Macaca mulatta: one gene and its partners. The protein of the gene in region 4 purifies or fractionates together with the protein of the main gene of each other region. This does not show direct contact. Links are inferred from orthologs where the notes say so. Each region holds a gene or a part of one and is shown on either strand. Other genes may lie near its edges. The genes, in order: HSP90AB1, CDC37, FKBP5 and TSSK6.

What was found.
Region 1: the proteins of TSSK6 (region 4) and HSP90AB1 purify together in Homo sapiens (affinity purification with mass spectrometry; 4 studies listed by BioGRID and IntAct, with this or other methods). This does not show direct contact. The link is inferred for Macaca mulatta from reciprocal best matches to the Homo sapiens genes TSSK6 and HSP90AB1.
Region 2: the proteins of TSSK6 (region 4) and CDC37 purify together in Homo sapiens (affinity purification with mass spectrometry; 4 studies listed by BioGRID and IntAct, with this or other methods). This does not show direct contact. The link is inferred for Macaca mulatta from reciprocal best matches to the Homo sapiens genes TSSK6 and CDC37.
Region 3: the proteins of TSSK6 (region 4) and FKBP5 purify together in Homo sapiens (affinity purification with mass spectrometry; 4 studies listed by BioGRID and IntAct, with this or other methods). This does not show direct contact. The link is inferred for Macaca mulatta from reciprocal best matches to the Homo sapiens genes TSSK6 and FKBP5.

The regions. Positions count from the first base shown.
Region 1 is NC_133409.1:137,862,141-137,866,982, reverse strand, and holds the end of HSP90AB1 (heat shock protein HSP 90-beta), read left to right. Parts: coding exon 1-20; intron 21-203; coding exon 204-337; intron 338-470; coding exon 471-779; intron 780-1,222; coding exon 1,223-1,388; intron 1,389-1,591; coding exon 1,592-1,782; intron 1,783-1,904; coding exon 1,905-2,052; intron 2,053-2,167; coding exon 2,168-2,436; intron 2,437-2,925; coding exon 2,926-3,259; intron 3,260-3,369; coding exon 3,370-3,479; 3' UTR 3,480-3,757; downstream 3,758-4,842. Other genes in the region: SLC35B2 (adenosine 3'-phospho 5'-phosphosulfate transporter 1), read right to left, coding at 4,571-4,842. UniProt on the Homo sapiens protein: Molecular chaperone that promotes the maturation, structural maintenance and proper regulation of specific target proteins involved for instance in cell cycle control and signal transduction. Undergoes a functional cycle linked to its ATPase activity.
Region 2 is NC_133424.1:11,122,066-11,126,442, forward strand, and holds part of CDC37 (hsp90 co-chaperone Cdc37), read right to left. Parts: intron 4,281-4,377; exon of another isoform or gene 4,219-4,280; intron 3,201-4,218; coding exon 2,925-3,200; intron 2,694-2,924; coding exon 2,432-2,693; intron 2,340-2,431; coding exon 2,224-2,339; intron 2,140-2,223; coding exon 2,017-2,139; intron 1,082-2,016; coding exon 899-1,081; intron 799-898; coding exon 727-798; intron 1-726. UniProt on the Homo sapiens protein: Co-chaperone that binds to numerous kinases and promotes their interaction with the Hsp90 complex, resulting in stabilization and promotion of their activity. Inhibits HSP90AA1 ATPase activity.
Region 3 is NC_133409.1:146,536,370-146,541,458, forward strand, and holds the start of FKBP5 (peptidyl-prolyl cis-trans isomerase FKBP5), read left to right. Parts: upstream 1-1,711; 5' UTR 1,712-1,781; intron 1,782-5,016; exon of another isoform or gene 5,017-5,089. UniProt on the Homo sapiens protein: Immunophilin protein with PPIase and co-chaperone activities. Component of unligated steroid receptors heterocomplexes through interaction with heat-shock protein 90 (HSP90).
Region 4 is NC_133424.1:20,109,004-20,113,037, reverse strand, and holds TSSK6 (testis-specific serine/threonine-protein kinase 6), read left to right. Parts: upstream 1-1,516; 5' UTR 1,517-1,655; coding exon 1,656-2,477; 3' UTR 2,478-2,864; downstream 2,865-4,034. UniProt on the Homo sapiens protein: Serine/threonine-protein kinase component of the sperm flagellar doublet microtubules. May act as a regulator of sperm motility by mediating phosphorylation of sperm doublet microtubule proteins.

The DNA of each region.
Region 1 (4,842 bases), on a different chromosome or scaffold from region 4:
CACTGTGCGGGCTGACCATGGTAAGTTAGCTTTTCTGTTACAAGGTAGCTGGGTTAGAGTTTTGTGGGCTCACCAGTAGCAGAAATTTTGAGCATCCTGTCAAGCAGTTCTTCATAGCAGTTCCGCTAATACTTTATTAATTTGGTGAAGTCTCAACTGCATATACTTTCGTCCTGTTACACGCTTATGATTGACTCTTCTAGGTGAGCCCATTGGCAGAGGTACCAAAGTGATCCTCCATCTTAAAGAAGATCAGACAGAATACTTGGAAGAGAGGCGGGTCAAAGAAGTAGTGAAGAAGCACTCTCAGTTCATAGGCTATCCCATCACCCTTTATGTGAGTATGGACTTTTAAACCTTTTACACTTAGCCTGCAGGATGTTTCCTGTTCTGGAGAATCTCGTGGTCCCTGGCTGCTTCTTTTCCTGGTGTTTTGTACTCCAAGGCTAATTTCTGTTTTTCTTACTTAGTTGGAGAAGGAGCGAGAGAAGGAAATTAGTGATGATGAGGCAGAGGAAGAGAAAGGTGAGAAAGAAGAGGAAGATAAAGATGATGAAGAAAAGCCCAAGATCGAAGATGTGGGTTCAGATGAGGAGGATGACAGTGGTAAGGATAAGAAGAAGAAAACTAAGAAGATCAAAGAGAAATACATTGATCAGGAAGAGCTAAACAAGACCAAGCCTATTTGGACCAGAAACCCTGATGACATCACCCAAGAGGAGTATGGAGAATTCTATAAGAGCCTCACCAATGACTGGGAAGACCACTTGGCAGTCAAGGTGAGAAGCCTTTGCATGTTGGGTCAACATGCAAATATGGAGAGGAATAAGTGGAAGAGTGTTGGCAGGTAATAGACACATGGAACGTGTCCAGCTGATAACAGAAATATGAGAGCCATGTATTTTCACTTACTGATTACCCGGTCATAGTGAAGTGCCATCCTTCCTAATGACCTCACTTTCTCTAAAGGAAATCTGGGTAATGTCTATTGGCAGCCTTACACATCCAGAGTTCTGATCAGAGCGGACTGTTTTCTATATACAGCTAGTATTCGTCTAGATCGTTGAGGGCATTAAGGCTCAGTTTTCTCGGGAACTGCCTGTGTGTGCGCTCTATCCGTTAGGCTTATGGGGAGGATCATTATTCCATTTTTAGGTAATTTGGTGTTGGGGCTAAAAGGCCCTCTTTTGAAATGTATCACTTATTTTTTGTTTTTTTCCAGCACTTTTCTGTAGAAGGTCAGTTGGAATTCAGGGCATTGCTATTCATTCCTCGTCGGGCTCCCTTTGACCTTTTTGAGAACAAGAAGAAAAAGAACAACATCAAACTCTATGTCCGTCGTGTGTTCATCATGGACAGCTGTGATGAGTTAATACCAGAGTATCTCAGTGAGTATCTCCTTGGCCTAATTTAGTTGGGTGAAGTCTTGGGAGGTTTTCGGCATTCTGCCAGAATATCCTAGGTTAAGGATTTTCTGCAATGCATAGTAAGTATAAGGGTTCAGGAGGCTATTAGAGCCTTCTGTTTGAATCTGGGTACCAGCTCTGGTCTAGCTATTTTTACTGAGCTTTCTTATCCTGGTTGATGGCAGATTTTATTCGTGGTGTGGTTGACTCTGAGGATCTGCCCCTGAACATCTCCCGAGAAATGCTCCAGCAGAGCAAAATCTTGAAAGTCATTCGTAAAAACATTGTTAAGAAGTGTCTTGAGCTCTTCTCTGAGCTGGCAGAAGACAAGGAGAATTACAAGAAATTCTATGAGGCATTCTCTAAAAATCTCAAGGTAAAGAGGCAAATGCTTATTCCCTTTACCACTTTCTTAGTAATTACTAACAAATTTTTCTATTCACATAGAAAGTGAATTGTAGTTAAGTTGGATTGTTTTTTCTCTTCCCACTCTTCAAGCTTGGAATCCACGAGGACTCCACTAACCGCCGCCGCCTGTCTGAGCTGCTGCGCTATCACACCTCCCAGTCTGGAGATGAGATGACATCTCTGTCAGAGTATGTTTCTCGCATGAAGGAGACACAGAAGTCCATCTATTACATCACTGGTGCGTTGGTTCTGATGGAAGCCTTTTTGGAGGAGTGGGGAGCACATTTCAGGGCTACCTAGGAACTGGCAGTATGAGGCATTTTAGTCACTGAGTCCATTTAATTACCCTACAGGTGAGAGCAAAGAGCAGGTGGCCAACTCAGCTTTTGTGGAGCGAGTGCGGAAACGGGGCTTCGAGGTGGTATATATGACCGAGCCCATTGACGAGTACTGTGTGCAGCAGCTCAAGGAGTTTGATGGGAAGAGCCTGGTCTCAGTTACCAAGGAGGGTCTGGAGCTGCCTGAGGATGAGGAGGAGAAGAAGAAGATGGAAGAGAGCAAGGCAAAGTTTGAGAACCTTTGCAAGCTCATGAAAGAAATCTTAGATAAGAAGGTTGAGAAGGTAAGCCATTCTGGAGCTAGGATATATTTTGTAACATACCTTTGAGGTGGGCTCCCTCACAATCATGTTTCTACACAATTAGTGGCTTGAGGCACCCTATTTACTGTTTGGAGCCTTCTTGGCTCTTGTTCTCTCCCCTAGCCAGGTTTAAGGCTATTTTAATAAAATTTGGCACAGATAAGGCATTGCTTCAGTTAACTTGTGAGAGTAGATAAAATATTATTTTCTTCTTTTTTTGACTGGATCTCAGCTCACTGCAAATTCAAGTCTCCTGAGTGGCTGGGATTACAGACATGTGCCACCACACCCGGTTAATTTTTTGTATATTTTGTAGAGAGAGGGTTTTGCCAGGTTGGTCTCAAACTCAAGTGATCGGCCCCACCTCCTCCTCCTCCCCCTGCTGGAATTACAGGCTTGACAGTGTCCGTTTTCTCTTTCAAAGTGGTCACTGATCTAATGCAAATCTAAGGCTTTTGTGATTGTCCACAGGTGACAATTTCCAATAGGCTTGTGTCTTCACCCTGCTGCATTGTGACCAGCACCTATGGCTGGACAGCCAATATGGAGCGGATCATGAAAGCCCAGGCACTTCGGGACAACTCCACCATGGGCTATATGATGGCCAAAAAGCACCTGGAGATCAACCCTGACCACCCCATTGTGGAGACTCTGCGGCAGAAGGCTGAGGCCGACAAGAATGATAAGGCAGTTAAGGACCTGGTGGTGCTGCTGTTTGAAACCGCCCTGCTCTCTTCAGGCTTTTCCCTTGAGGATCCCCAGACCCACTCCAACCGCATCTACCGCATGATCAAGCTAGGTCTAGGTAAGCAGCTTTGGTACTTGATGTGGCAAGGAGTTTGTGCAACTAGGCTCCTGTCTGGATTTGACTTAATGCTATTTAATCAAGTCTTACATGGCTTAATTTTACTTTAGGTATTGATGAAGATGAAGTGGCAGCAGAAGAACCCAGTGCTGCAGTTCCTGATGAGATTCCCCCTCTTGAGGGCGATGAGGATGCGTCTCGCATGGAAGAAGTCGATTAGAAGTTCATAGTTGGAAAACTTGTGCCCTTGTATAGTGTCCCCGTGGCTCCCACTGCAGCCTCAAGTGCCCCTGTCCCACCTGGCTCCCCCTGCTGATGTCTAGTGTTGTTTTTCCTCTCCTGTCCTTGTGTTGAAGGCAGGAAACCAAGGGTGTCAAGCCCCATTCCCTCTCTACTCTGACAGCAGGATTGGATGTTGTGTGTTGTGGTTTATTTTATTTTCTTCATTTTGTTCTGAAATTAAAGTATGCAAAATAAAGAATATGCCGTTTTTATACACTTTTGCTCTCCCTTGTGAAGTGGATGTTAATTCTTCCCTAGCTTCTCTATCCCCCCAGCTCTTGCTGTTTTCATGAGCACAGCAAGTTAAGCTGGTTTTGTAGCTAAGATACAGAATACCAGTGAGTCTTAAGAGTGCACACACTGAAGCCAAAGGCAGTTTTTCTGAAAAACTACCGTATAATAATGCCTTTTCAGTCAACCAAAACACAGGACCAAGCCCATTACAGTAATTTAATTTAATAAAATAAAATTATAAGAGCAAAAAGTTACATTTCTAAAGTACCAAAACCTACAACAGGCTCATGGAGTAGAGCCTAGGGATCCAGGAGCATAGGAGGTGGTGGTGCTGGGCAGGGATCTGCATCCCCTTTCCACAACACAGCACCATCTTCACTTCACCCCCCTGGGAAAGCAGCATTGGAGCCTACACCGCTTGTGCTTTTCTCACCAGGGTAAGAAATGCAGGTATTTGCAGAGGGGAGTCTGGAAGGCAGCAGAGCACAGCTAGGGCAAGACTTAAGGAAACTTCTGGGAGGGGGAACTGTGGAACCTACCTATGCCCTCTTGACCCCAAACTCCCCCTCACTGAGGACTATCTCTACCCTGGGGCTCAGAATAAACTGCCTGCTGGAAGATGGGTGACTTAAGGCAAAAGGGAAGGCTGCCTCCTGGGCTCCCCACCCCCTGCTGCAGAGTCTATGATACTGAGAAAACACCTGCATTTTGCCCTTTGAGCCAGCTCCCTCGGGTTACAGTAGGAGAAAATGGTGAGAAGACTATTTCACTTCACCCCTCAGGCCCTCTCCACCCTCAAACCTTCTGCACAGGAGACTCAACAGGCACAGCCTTCTTTCCCCGTTGCTTTAGACGGCCCCGCGCGTAGACTCTGAGTAGGAGGGCAGCAAAGACCACAGCCACTCCCAGCCCTCCCACCACAGTGACAGTGTGGCCATAGAGAAGGCAGGAAAGAAGGATGGCAAAGGCCTGGCGGAGGGTCATGATGATGGTGAAGACAGCAGCCCCGAACTGCCCAATGGTGTAAAAGATGAAGAGCTGGCCACATGCAGAGCAGATGGAGAGTA
Region 2 (4,377 bases), about 9.0 Mb from region 4:
GGTGAGAGAGGAAGACCCTGTCTGTCAAAAAAAAAAAAACAGATGGCCAGGTGCAGTGACTCACGCCTGTAATCCCAGCACTCTGGGAGGCTGAGGCGGGCGGATCACGAGGTCAGGAGATTGAGACCATCCTGGCTAACACAGTGAAACCCCGTCTCTACTAAAAAATACAAAAAATTAGCCGGGCATGGTGGTGGGTGCCTGTAGTCCCAGCTACTCGGGAGGCTGAGGCAGGAGAATGGTGCGAACCCGGGAGGCGGAGTTTGCAGTGAGCAGAAATAGCACCACTGCACTCCAGCCTGGGTGACAGAGTGAGACTCTGTCTCAAAAAAAAAAAAACAAAAACAAAAAACAGACAAAATCCAATTAACAGCCAGCATTTACCAGCCCCTGCCGTGTGCTCAGCTCCTTTCCCCACACGTTTTGTGAGCTGATATTGAGAGAAAATATGGTTTGCATAAGGAAACTGAGGCTGGACTCAGTCACAGTAACAGTGACTATCAGTCACAAGGGACATACGCTCAAAGCTCAGCATTTATCTGCTGGATGCTGGGACACAGTAGGTGCTCAATAAATGTGGGTGTGTGCCAAGGTAACACGACCCCCCTTAGTCCTTGGAGAAGCCTTGGAGGGGCACTTTCACCAACTGGCTTCAGAGACTTGGGACACAGGGCTGGGGGAGACACATGGCCCGCTGGAAAGGCATGGGACGTGGGGGTTACTCACGGTGGGGTCCATCTTGCTGATGGCGTCTTGCAGCATCTGCACGTCCTTTACATCGAAGCACTTCTGGAGTTCCTGGGGGTATAGAAGGGCTGGGGTCAGGGGCTGGGTCCCTGTGCCCTGGGGGGTCCCGCTCAGGGTCCTCCTGCCGCCCGCCTGGGCTGGGGAGCCGCACCTCAGGGAGGGACTCGTAGACCTCGACAGGGTCCAGGCCGCCGGGGCCAAGCCGCTTCTTGCGCTCCTCCTCCTCATACTCCTTCATGGCCTTCTCAATGCGCAGCTTGGCACGGCCCCGCACACGCTCCTTGAAGGCTTCTAGCTCGTCGTTGAAGCCCTCCATGTACTGGCGATCGGCTGTCTATGGGGGTCGGGCAGTGCTCACTAGACTTGGCCCAGTGCTCAGGAGGGACTGGGGGCCCAGGACCCTCCAGCCACAGCTCCTCAGAGGTGCCCCAGGGCTCCCTAAGTCTGTTCCTGACTTACATAAAGGGCTTCCCAAGGCCTGGGCTCCCCTGCCAGGGACCTCATCTGGCATTTGCTAAAGACCACCTCCTTGGGAGCCCTGCTCTACTGCAGATCCGAGACACTCGTGTCCTCAGTGTCCCTGCATGGGCACCTCTAACTCAACACGGCCACCTCCCAGCCTGCCTTGTCCTTGGTCTCCCCAGTCTTGGTAAGGGTAGCCCTGTTCCTCCAGGTGCGCAAGTTAAAAACCCGAGAGGCTGGCAGGCGCCTGTAATGCCAGCTACTTGGGAGGCTGAGGCATGAGAATTGCTTGAACCCAGGAGGCAGGGGTTGTAGTGAGCTGAGATCACGCCATTGCACTCCAGCCTTGGTGATAGCAAGACTGGGTCTCAAAAACAAAAAAAAGCCCAGAGCCCTAGAGGCACCCTCACCTCTGTCCTTTACCCACATATCCACATGGGGACCTCCAGCACATCCTAGTGCTCCCATTTTTTTTTGTAATGCAGTTTTGCTCTGTCACCCAGGCTGGAGTGCAGTGGAACACCACAGCTCACAAATTCCTGAGCTCAAGTGGTCCTCCTGCTTCAGCCTCCCAAAGACTTGGACTATAGGACTCAGTCACCAAGCCTGGCCTGACCTCCACTTTTAAAGTCTGGCAGCATCCGCCCACTTCTCTCCCCCTCCTTGGCCCCGCCCTCTCCTGATCTAGGATTCGGTGATTGGAGGGGCTTGAGTCCCAGTGGACAGGAGTCGGCCTTACCCAGAGCGCTGTGGGCTGGTTCCCTGGGGAGGGGGCCTCCAGCCACCTGGCAGCTCAGGGGACCCTACCTTAATCTTAGTGAAGAACTGCCGGAAGCAGGCCCGGGGGTCCACCTTCAGGCTCTTGGCCAGCTCCAGGATAAACTGCATGACGATTGTCTGGTGAGCCACCTGCTCCATGAGTGCACATTTCTGCCAGGGAGAACAGGCACAGTGTTACCAAGTGGCGGCCTCAGGGCAGCACCTTTTCACAGCCCTGGGGAAAGCTCCACTCACCTCCTCCACCTCTAGGTCAATGCACCAGATGACCAGGTAATTGGCCGTCTCCTCGCACACCAGGTGGACATTGTCTGACAGGTACTTTTGGCTGTCATCCCAGCGGCGGAGCATGCCTGTGGGAAGATGCTGGCAAGGTGCTGGAGGGCCCTGGAGGCAAAGGGCCTGCCCCGACCTTGCCCCCCATAACCTCACACGCCCCACTCACCAAAGTGCTTGATCTGTTTCTCGTACTTTTCCACGAAAGTCTTGTGTTTCTGCTCCCTCACCTCCTCTGAGTCCTCCTCTGTCTTCTCGGGCTTGGTGTTGACCATGCTCTGTGGTAGGGTGAGAGGGGGAGTGGGCTGGGGCAAGGCTGCGGAGCGCCTCGAGTGCGGCCGGGCGGGCCGTGGCCGCAGCGCCCATCCCATCCACGGCGGAGGTGGTGACGAAGCCATGAGCATCAAGGTGGCGGGAGCGTGGGCATGGGCCTTGGGGCAGATCAGAGGAGGGGACCGGTGGGGTGTTTCATCCGCCCGGCCCTCCAAGCCTGTCCCCCCTCCCACGTGGCCCCCGTCCGTCCCTCAGCTCTCTGCCCCACACCACACTCTTCAACTACACCGCCGCGGTCCTCCCCTGACCAGGCATTGGGTGCGCATGCGTCCTGGCTGCATACTCGCCGGCTGCGCAAGTGCACTGCCCACCCCGCCCGCCCCGCACACCTTGCTGAAGCCGTCTTTGCTGAGCGTGTCCACGTTCCAGGGCATGCTCTTCTCCTTCTTGCGCATCTCTTCCAGCTTCTGCTCCCAGCTCCGCTCCTCTTTGCGCAGCTGCTGTGCCTCGGCCTGCAGCCGCTCCAGCTCTGCCTTGCCGCCCTCAGCCACCTCCAGCTCCTTCAGCTTCCTCTGGCATTCGGCCACCTTGCGCTTGCACTCGCGGCAGCCCCTGTCCAGTTCCTCCTTCTCCTTCTGGAACTGCTCCATGCGCTCCACCCGGGCCTGCGGGCAGGGGCGGCCTATCAACTTTGGGGAGCGGCCTGTCCCTTACCCCCAGCCCCATACCCAATCCCCGCACCAGAGATGGCCCCGGGAAAAAGTATGCCTCCACCTCCCGTGCCCTGGTCTCCCAGCTTCCGCCCCTGCCCCCACAGGTGCCGACGCACACCCAAGTGGGGTCCGGTCCCTCCGTCCTCCGCTCAGAACCCTGGCGGCTCCCATCTCACTCAGAGCAGAGTCCAGGTTGTCACCACAGCCTACGTAGGCCCTACACAATCTAACCCGGCACCTCCCCTGCTAACTCTTCCTTCCAGCCACACTGGCCCCTCACTTTTCTCACCTTTTCTTGAGACCATTCTTTTTTCTTTTAGAAAAAAAACAAAAAAACAGGGTCTCACTCTGTCGCCCAGGTCAGAGTGCAGTGGCCCAATGACGACTTACTGAAGCCTCGACCTCCCTGGGCTCAGGCAATCCTCCCACCTCGCCTCCCGAGTAGCTGGGACTACAGGTGTGCACCACCACGCCCAGCTAATTTTTGTATTTGCAGTAAAGATGGGGTTTCGCCATGTTGCCCAGACGGGTCTTGAAGTCCTGGGTTCAAGCGATTCTTCCGCCTTGGCCTCCCAAAGTGCTGGGACCACAGGCAGGAGCCACTCTGCTCGGCAGAGCCTGCTTTTTTCTTGAACTTCAAGGCCTTCACACTGGCTGTTCCAACTACTTGGAATGATTTTCCCTCAGATCCCCCCACAGCTGACTCTATGGCACCCGCGCCATCTGGGCTCCATGTTGCCTTAGCGAGGACCCCTTCCCTAACCACCTTCCTATTGATGGCAACCTCCCGCTGCCCCCGTCTGGAATTCCCTGCCTCAACACCAGCCACCACTCACATCATATGACAATTATTTATCACGTTTTTGGGTACTGCCCCGCCCCGCTCTCTAAATATGGGAATGTGTTTGCCATTTTGTCTCCAGAACCAGGAACTTGGCCTGGCGCAAAGCAGGGGCTCAGCAAATGCTTGTTTTTTTGTTTTTATTTTGTTTGGTTTTCTTTGAACAAGGTCTTGTTGTCATGCAGACTAGAGTGCAGTGGTGCGATCATGGTTCACTGCAGCCTTGACCTCCCAGGCTCAAGAGATCCTCCTGCCTCAACCTCCCAACTAGCTAGGACTAAAGGTGCA
Region 3 (5,089 bases), on a different chromosome or scaffold from region 4:
AAAGCACTTGGAACAGTGCCCAGCACACAGAGCTCAACAAATGTTGACTATAATCCTAATTATCTCCGCAGGTTTCACCTGGACAACATGTGGGGTGTGGGCAGGCAGTGAGAACACAGACGGTAGCCCTCAATGCATCCCAGCCTGAAAAGCACATGAGTCAGCCCTTCCTTCCACTTACCCACTACCTCTCACGCTAGTCGTTGTCTTTTTTTTTTTTTTGATACGAGTCTGGCTCTGTCTCCCAGGTTGCAGTGCAGTGGCGCCATCTCGGCTCACTGCAAACTCGGCCTCCCAGGTTCGAGCAATTCTTGTGCCTCAGCTTGCCGAGTAGCTGGAACTACAGGCGTGCACCACCGCGCCTGGTTAATTTTTGTATTTTTAGTGGATTGGATTTCACCATTTCGGCCAGGCTGGTCCCGAACTCCTGCTCTCAGGTGATCTGCCTGCCTCGGCCTCTCAAAGTGCTGGGATTACAGGCATAAACCACCACACCAGACCTCCCTGGTCTTCTTAAAGTGAATCAATCCGAATTCCTGTAATCCATGTAACTGCTTTGAGTGACTCTGGAACCCTCTTTGAAGCCCCCACAAATACCTAAAAGAGGAGCAGGAGCGCTACAACACATTCCCCTAAACTGTGTTTCTAAGAACCATCCAACTACCTGTGGAACCCTAAGGCCCCTTCCTCATCTCTTTACCAATATCCTGGCAATGGTTGTTTGAGCCTAGTTAATGACAGAAGCTCCAGCCAGATGCTGTTGGGGGTCCTCTACGAAAAGACACCGCCATTCCCGAGGGTGATACTGCAGCGGCCCAGTACTTGTGCGCATAGAAGCTAAGGGGAAATTGCCCTACCCTAAACTCCAGTGAAAAGCCCTTTGCAGTCCGACAGGCTTGCATTCACATCCCAGCAGTGTGGGGTTTGGACAAATTCCATAATCTGAGTCTGTTTCCTCTTCTAGAACGCGAGTCTATGAATTCCTGTCTACTGCCTGGAAGTGCCGCTGTCAGGACTGACTAAGATAATGTGTGTACTTTCGGTGCACAGGGGACGCTCAACACGTGCGAGCTTCCCTTGCAGAAAACCAAGAGATGAAAGGCTGGGGGCCGCCCCTGCCTTGACGTGCATCCCATACTCTCCGAGATCATCTCTCCCCAGCTAGCGCTTACTCCTGCCCAGGAACCAGATCCTGGGGCCTCCGGGTAGCTCCGGCTAAGGCGCGGGAAGCAGAGGGGGCCAGCGCCCCCAGAGGAGGAGGTTGGGGGGGAAGGAGGCCGCGCCTTTCCCCGCCCCGGGCCTCCCCCCGTCTTGCTCTCCCTCCCCGGACTACCTCCTCCCCCCGCGCGCATCCGGCGACGGGCACAGGATGTTCTTTCGCTCCCGTCCCCGCTCCGCCCCCGCTCTCACTTTCTCTTCGCTCCCCTCCCCCACTCGCGCCGCGCCCGGCGCCGGCACCTAATTTAACTCTTTCTCTCCCGCGCTCGTTGGCGCCTGTGCGCCTCCTGGGCGGGGGTCCCATCCTTCCCGCCCGCCCCCCAGGACGTGGAGCGAGGGGGCTGACCGGGAAGGGGCGGGCCTGAGCTGAGCGCTGGGCCCAGGTTCTCAGGATCCTTTAGCCCGCAGCTGGTGGAGAGGGCTCACCGGGATCCGGCACTCTAGAACCCCCGCTAGTTCACCCGGGTAAGGGTGGGGGTGGAGATGGGTACCCACACTCGAGACAGCTGCGCGCCCAAGAAAGGCGGCCAGGCGGGCTTAGATGCTGGCCCGGCGGGGGGCGAGTAGGGTCAAGGGCCACCAACCTCATCCTCCCCCCAGGTTCGGATGCGGAGGGGCCCAGGGCACCAGCAGAGGATGGAGAGAGGCCACGCCCCTCGGCGACGTCACTGATGTCAAGGCAACCGGGGGCGGGACGGTGGGCTACTGAAGGGCAGACCTCAGGGAATTGAGGCTGCCGGTGGCTCTGGGACGGGGTGGGGGTGGGGGTGGGGGCGCAGCAGGGGCGGGCTTTTCAATTTGCTTCAGTCAATGATGTCCAAAAAACGGAGTGAGGGTCAGCTTCTGTTCGCTCTTTGATTCAACAGGCATTTATTGAGCGTTATGCTTGGGGCTGTGCTTAGGCACTGGGATATTGCGTGCCATCCGAACCCTGCCAGTTGTTGTGAACTACGGTAGGGTGGCTCTGCGTCCCTGGAACGGACGTAATTATTAACAGTGCCCCTTTTCAAGTTTAAAGTGTCCCAGTATGGGCAGTAGTTAAGGAACACCTTTCTCCCAATTCAGAAAAGGCTCCAACCATACGGGGAAGGAATATAAACTATTGGGTACAACAGGCACTTTCCTGGTGCTTTGTATTCTCTGTAATTTTTGCCCCTCATTCTGCAAAACGAGTGTCACTAGCGGCTTTTACAGACGAAGAAACTGGCTCAGAGAGGTTAAGAGACTTACCCAGGGCCAAACAGCTAAGTGTTGGAACCAGGATCCAGACCCAAGTTTTATGTGCCCTCCAAAGTATTTCGTGCCTGCTTCTCAAAATAAGTAGATGATGTCAAATAAATAAAAGACACTGTCCCTGCCATTAAAAAGCCTACAGCCTATGGGAGAAGAGGTTTAAAATACTGCAGGACATAACTAAGCAATAAAACATAAAAAAGATTAGGTGGGGCACGGTAGCTCACTCCTGTAATCCCAGCACTTTGGGAGGCTGAGGCGGGTGGATCACCTGAGGTCAGGAGTTTGAGACCAGCCTGACCAATATGGTGAAACCCCGTCTCTACTAAAAATGCAAATATTAGCTGGGCGTGGTGGTGTTCAACTGAAGTCCCAGCTACTCGGGAGGCTCAGATAGGAGAATTGCTTGAACTGGGGAGGCAGAGGTTGCAATGAGCCGAGATCGCCCCACTGCACTCCACCCTGGGCGACAGAGCAAGACTCAATCTCAAAAAAAGAAAAAAAAAGGAAAAGATTAAAGGCAGCTCACAGGCTCAGAGGGAAGCCACTAGTTATGCCACTCTCCTTTCCACATTCTGCCCTCCTCTGTGGTTTTGTCTCTTACTGAACAGGGACTCCTAGCAGGCATCTGCCCTCATTCTGCTCTGCACCCAAGGTTTTGCAGTTGGTATTTGCCACAACCTTCCTGATATTAACTTGGATGTCGGCCTCTCCCTTCCCCACCAGCTCCCCACCTCCAGCCACCTAAGATTTTGGGGAAATGAAAAACAGTGGCCCTTCAAAACAAAAGGGCCCCAGTGAGCATTGGGAAGCCAATAGGCTTGATGGGACTGGGGAGACCAAGGCAGGAGAGAGAATTGGAACGGTGGAAAGGGAACACCACCAAATGGATGGGTCACTTGAGGAACATTTGCTGCCCTCCTGCTGTGCAGGAGGCACTGCACTCAACCCTGTGGCCTGGACATGCCATGAGTGAATTCAGGTCCCATCTCACAGAGAATACACAGCTTAGCTAGTGTACTCACTGTGCTTGGTTGAGGAGTCTGAAGTTGATAACATACACAATAAATGATGTTTGAGAAAGATTATTCCAGCAGGGTGTGTAGGAGGAAGGAAAAAGAAAGGACAGTGTAGCAGCTGCTGTGAGAATTTGGGCCAAAGGTGGAATCTATGGGGCTGGAGGGGAAAGGGTGAAGGAGAAAAGTAATGAACAAACAATATATTTTGAAATAAAAGCAACAAAGGGAAGAATTTGATAAGATATCAGACATAAGGATGATGAAGGAGAGAAAGTAGTTAAACATTAATCTACCTTTGCAGTGAGTTTCAGGACTGGGAGGGTCATGGTGGGCAATGGGGAGGAGCTGGTGTGAGGGACATGAATATGAGTTCAGTCACTTCTAGGCCATGTAAGGGCAGGTGTCCCGTAGGTGACTGGACTTGGAGATAGGGAAGTCCAGAAGAGCAGTGGGCTGCTGTCTGAGAGTGTCCCTGTCATAGCCTCGAGCAATCACTGACCTGGGATCACGGACAGATTTCAAGCATCAGGAAGAAGGTGGGAGTAGATGGCAGTGAAGGTGCCTCCCAACTGGGAGATGCAGTGTGCATTGGCTGGGTGAGAGCCTGTGTGGGAAGTGTGATGTATGTATGGGAAGGGGGTCCACGGCTCAGGCCTGTGTTGGCATCTTTAGCCACAGAGGGTGCCAGAGATGCCATCAGATGGCAGGAGGCCCAGGTAAGGCACTTCAGCAGCCTGAGGTCCCTCCCCTAGGCCCACCCTCAAAGGCCCTGGAGCCCAGGCCTATGCTGCCTGCCAGGGCCTTTCCCGGAACCACTCCTCCCCGCCTGCCCTGGCACTCTCCAGGCACAAAGCATCCCTCAGGGCACTGCGCAGCACCCCAGGAAGCTGGGACGTGGGGCAGGTCCCCATCCCCAGGAAGAGCCCTGCTCTGGGCTGCTGTCATCATCACAATGGCCCCACAAGATGCCAGGACACAGCATAGGGACAGCATAAGTCCCCAGTGGGGACCCCAAATGGGACCCCATTTCCCCTGCATAGAGGTGGAAGGAGGAGGTTTGTGGCTAGGTGGCAGGATTCCTGGGTCTTTATTGTGGTTTGGGGGTGGGGGCAGAAAAGCAGGGTCTCAGGCTTCAAAACACCACACCACCTGCCTGTTCCTCCCTCCGAGGAGGAAATCTTCAGGGGCCTTGTGGTTTTGAGGGGAGGGGGCAGGAAGAGACTCTGAACTCTGGGTCAGCTGAGGACAGAGATAGGGGAGATCCTCTTGCCCTATGTCCCACTTTTCTTCTAGGATCCTCTTCCTCGGCTCCCTACTCCGCCACTACCCCAGAACAAACTCCTACCTCTGTTTGCAACTAAGAGTTACATCCCCCATGCCAAGACCTTCCGAGGCGTCCCAGAGGGGTGAGGTTTGGGGAAAACAGAACATGTACACAGCAGCTGTGTGCCTGGCCACACCTGTCGGGTGGGGTGAGGAGAGTGCTCCTCCCAGGTGGGCAGAGCCTGCTGCGCTCAGGCTGGGGGCTGGGAGACGCTTTAATACAGGGGCTAGATGGCAGAGAGATGCGCGAACCGGCCACGTGGAGGTCCAGCGCGGTAGGCTCGGGCGCAAGCAGA
Region 4 (4,034 bases):
CGCCTGTAATCCTACCACTTTGGGAGGCCGAGGTGGGCCGATCATCTGAGGTTGGGAGTTGGAGACCACCCTGACCAACGTGGAGAAACCCCATCTCTACTAAAAATACAAAATTAGCCAGGCGTGGTGGCACATGCCTGTAATCCCAGCTACTCGGGAGGCTGAGGCAAGAGAATTGCTTGAACCCAGGAGGCAGAGGTTGCGGTGAGCCGAGATGGCGCCATTGCACTCCGGTCTGGGCAACAAGACCAAAACTCCGTCTCAAAAAAAAAATACATAAATGAAAACAATTTGAAAACTTTAAGAATACGGATTCCTGGGACACCATGGAGGCGGGGGCTGCCTGCAGGGAACCACTTTATAGAACATCTTGTAAATTCCCTCCAAGTTCCAGGTTGCGGCCTCAGCCTTGCCTTGGGGAGCCGTGGCCTCTTTTGGGCCTCAGTTTCCCCATCTGAGAAATCCAAGGGTGGCTGAGGGCCAGAGCGCAGACTATGCCTCAGTTTAACCCACTGTAAAATGTAAATAATTAGAGGGACCGATTTCCTGGGCTGTTACGAGAAGGAAGCGGAGCTGGGAAAGCGCTCAACAAACTGCAGCACTTGACGTTATTACAGAAGCTATGGAGGATTCTCGAGCTCAGCCTCCGGTCTCACCGCCAGGGAAACTGAGGCCCGCTTGTGTCCCCGGAACCCCGCCCCCGAGCCCCGAGTACCCACTCTGAGACCCCGGCCCAGAGTGATACTGACCCGACAGTCCTCGACGCGGCAAGTTTCGTTTGTAGTCGATGGGCCCATAGCCCCCCGGCGGGGGCATGTCCTGCTTCACCTTCGGCATCTCCATGCTAGCAGTATTCCACACTTCCGGTCCCAGGCGGAAGTGACATACTGCCACCGCCATGATGAGTGTGGCGGAAGCACTCGAGTTGGCCCGCCGCAGCCCTGGAAAGCCTCGGACACTAGTGTAACTACGCGACAGCGCAGGAAAGCTCCGGCGGCGGACCCTGGGTCGGAATACGCTGCCAGGCTGTAGCTGAGGAGTCTTTATTCCCTCTTTCTCCCAGACAGGGTGTGAATTGCCTTGGTTCTTGCATTAAAGGCCCTCGCGTTCGCCTTGCCTCTGGGGTGTTGCGCAGGCCAGTCAGAAACTCCGAGCGCCCGAGGGAGCCAGGGGCCCCAGTTAAGGCCCCTTTTCCCGTTTTCGCTCCGTCTAGGGACTCTACGGGAAGCCCAGGGCTCCACGTAGTCACGGGCTGGGTACGTGATGTTGGGGAGCAGCTGCTGCTCGAATTCGGACTCACCCCAATCCCCGGAACGGATGCTGCTCCCTGGTGGTGGTGGGTATCCCTTGCTAGTGGCCTCTCATCGGAAACTGACCATTCAAGGTGATTATGAGTCACAAAGCAGGGAGGCTAGGGTGGCCCCGGGGCGGGGTCCTGGACCCCCACCCTAAGGCGGAGTGACGCCCGTGGTCACTTCACAAGGCAAAAATTGTTACGGGGCAATAAAAGGCACAACAGCGGCCAATGCCTGGCAGTGGGCACATGGGGGTGCGGGGGTGTAGGTGCCAAGCGCCATGGCTTAGACCCGAGATTGGAGTCCGGCCGCCCCCCGACAGCAGCCGCCTCCTGCTCCCCGTGCGCCCCAGGCGCCACCATGTCGGGAGACAAACTTCTGAGCGAACTCGGTTATAAGCTGGGCCGCACAATTGGAGAGGGCAGCTACTCCAAGGTGAAGGTGGCCACATCCAAGAAGTACAAGGGTACCGTGGCCATCAAGGTGGTGGACCGGCGGCGAGCGCCCCCGGACTTCGTCAACAAGTTCCTGCCGCGAGAGCTGTCCATCCTGCGGGGCGTGCGACACCCGCACATCGTGCACGTCTTCGAGTTCATCGAGGTGTGCAACGGGAAACTGTACATCGTGATGGAAGCGGCTGCCACCGACCTGCTGCAAGCCGTGCAGCGCAACGGGCGCATCCCCGGAGTGCAGGCGCGCGACCTCTTCGCGCAGATCGCCGGCGCCGTGCGCTACCTGCACGATCACCACCTGGTGCACCGCGACCTCAAGTGCGAAAACGTGCTGCTGAGCCCGGACGAGCGCCGCGTCAAGCTCACCGACTTCGGGTTCGGCCGCCAGGCCCATGGCTACCCAGACCTGAGCACCACCTACTGCGGCTCAGCCGCCTACGCGTCACCCGAGGTGCTCCTGGGCATCCCCTACGACCCCAAGAAGTATGATGTGTGGAGCATGGGCGTCGTGCTCTACGTCATGGTCACCGGGTGCATGCCCTTCGACGACTCGGACATTGCCGGCCTGCCCCGGCGCCAGAAGCGCGGCGTGCTCTACCCCGAAGGCCTCGAGCTCTCCGAGCGCTGCAAGGCCCTGATCGCCGAGCTGCTGCAGTTCAGCCCGTCCGCCAGGCCCTCGGCGGGCCAGGTAGCGCGCAACTGCTGGCTGCGCACCGGGGACTCTGGCTAGAACCCGGGGTTCCAGCCATTCCTGCCCCCGAGGGCACTGGGCCAGCGCGGCGCACGCGCAAGAGGCGAGTTTAGCGGGAACATGCGAAGCTGCCGCGTGCTACTGCGCATGCGCCTTCTCCCTGCCGCTTCCCTCCCTTCCTTCCCACGGGGAAGTCGGCAGTTGCCCCTGTTCGGAATCCACGTCCTCCGCCATCCCGAGAGGTGGAGGCGCATGCGCATCCGTGATTTCCCAGACCAGGCCCCGAAAGAGGCGAGACCAGAGGGGAAGGAAGCATTGCGCCTGCGCGGAACAAGCTCAGCCTCTGCGCGGAGGGCGTACCTTCCCAACCAACGATGGGTGCCGGGTTCCCGGTTGGAACCTGCAATAAACTCGCTGTTCCTCGCACCTGGCTCTAACGGTGGCCCCATTTGCAGACCAGTGGAGAAGGGATCGCTCCGTCCGGGGAAGGCGGGCGCGGGTACCCTATTTTAGTCAGGCTTGTTGAGGTTATTGCTCCAAGACCCAAAAGGGAGTCGGGAGGATTCGAACCTGGACCTTTTGGGCTCCCCAGTATGGGCCAGCTCGAAGGAGCTCTGTTGTTCGTGGGTCGTGATGGTGCTGTGATGATGGGTGGGGAAGCAAGTGGACCCCAGCGCCTCCCCGTCCACATCTTTTAAGGATGGAACAGCCAGGGGTGGGGCGAGGGTCACCTGTCTCCACGTAAAGTAGGAGTTTATAGAAAAGGAAACTGAGGCCCACATGGATGTCACTTGCCAAAAGACGCAGCCAAGGGCTGGGCATGGTGGCTTACGCCTGTGACCCCAACACTGCGAGTCCGAGGCAGGCAGATCACTTGAGTTCAGGAATTCGAAAACAGCCTGGGCATCACAGCTGATACCTTATCTCTTGTTTTTTTGTTTTGTTTTGTTTTTTGAGACAGTCTCGCTCTGTCGCCCAGGCTGGAGTACAGTGGCACGATCTTGGCTCACTGCAACCTCCTCCTCCCGGGTTCAAGCGATTCTCTTACCTTAGCCTCCCAAGTAGCTGGGACTACAGGCACGTGCCCAAACACCCGGCTAATTTTTGTATTTTTAGTAGAGATGAGGTTTCACCATCTTGGCCAGACTAGTCTTGAACTCCTGACCTCCTGATCCACCTGCCTCGGCCTCTCAAAGTGTTGGGATTACAGGTCTGAGCCACTGCGCCCCCGACCCTGTCTCTAAAGAAAAAGAAAAAGAAAAAGTCCGGCGTGGTGGCTAACGCTTGTAATCCAAGGCGGGTGGATCACCTGAGGGCAGGAGTTCCAGACCAGCCTGGCCAACATAGTGAAACCTCATCTCTACTAAAACTACAAAAAAAAAAAAAAAAAAAAATAGCTGGGCATGGGGCAGGCACCTGTAATCTCAGCTACTCAGAGGCTAAGGCAGAAGAATCGCTTGAACCCGGGAGGTGGAGGTTGCAGTGAGCCGAGATCATGCCACTGCACTCCACCCTGGGCAACAAGAGCAAAACTCCGTCTCAAACAACAAACAAAAAAGACACAGCTGTGATTTTTTTTTTTTTTAAACAGGGTCT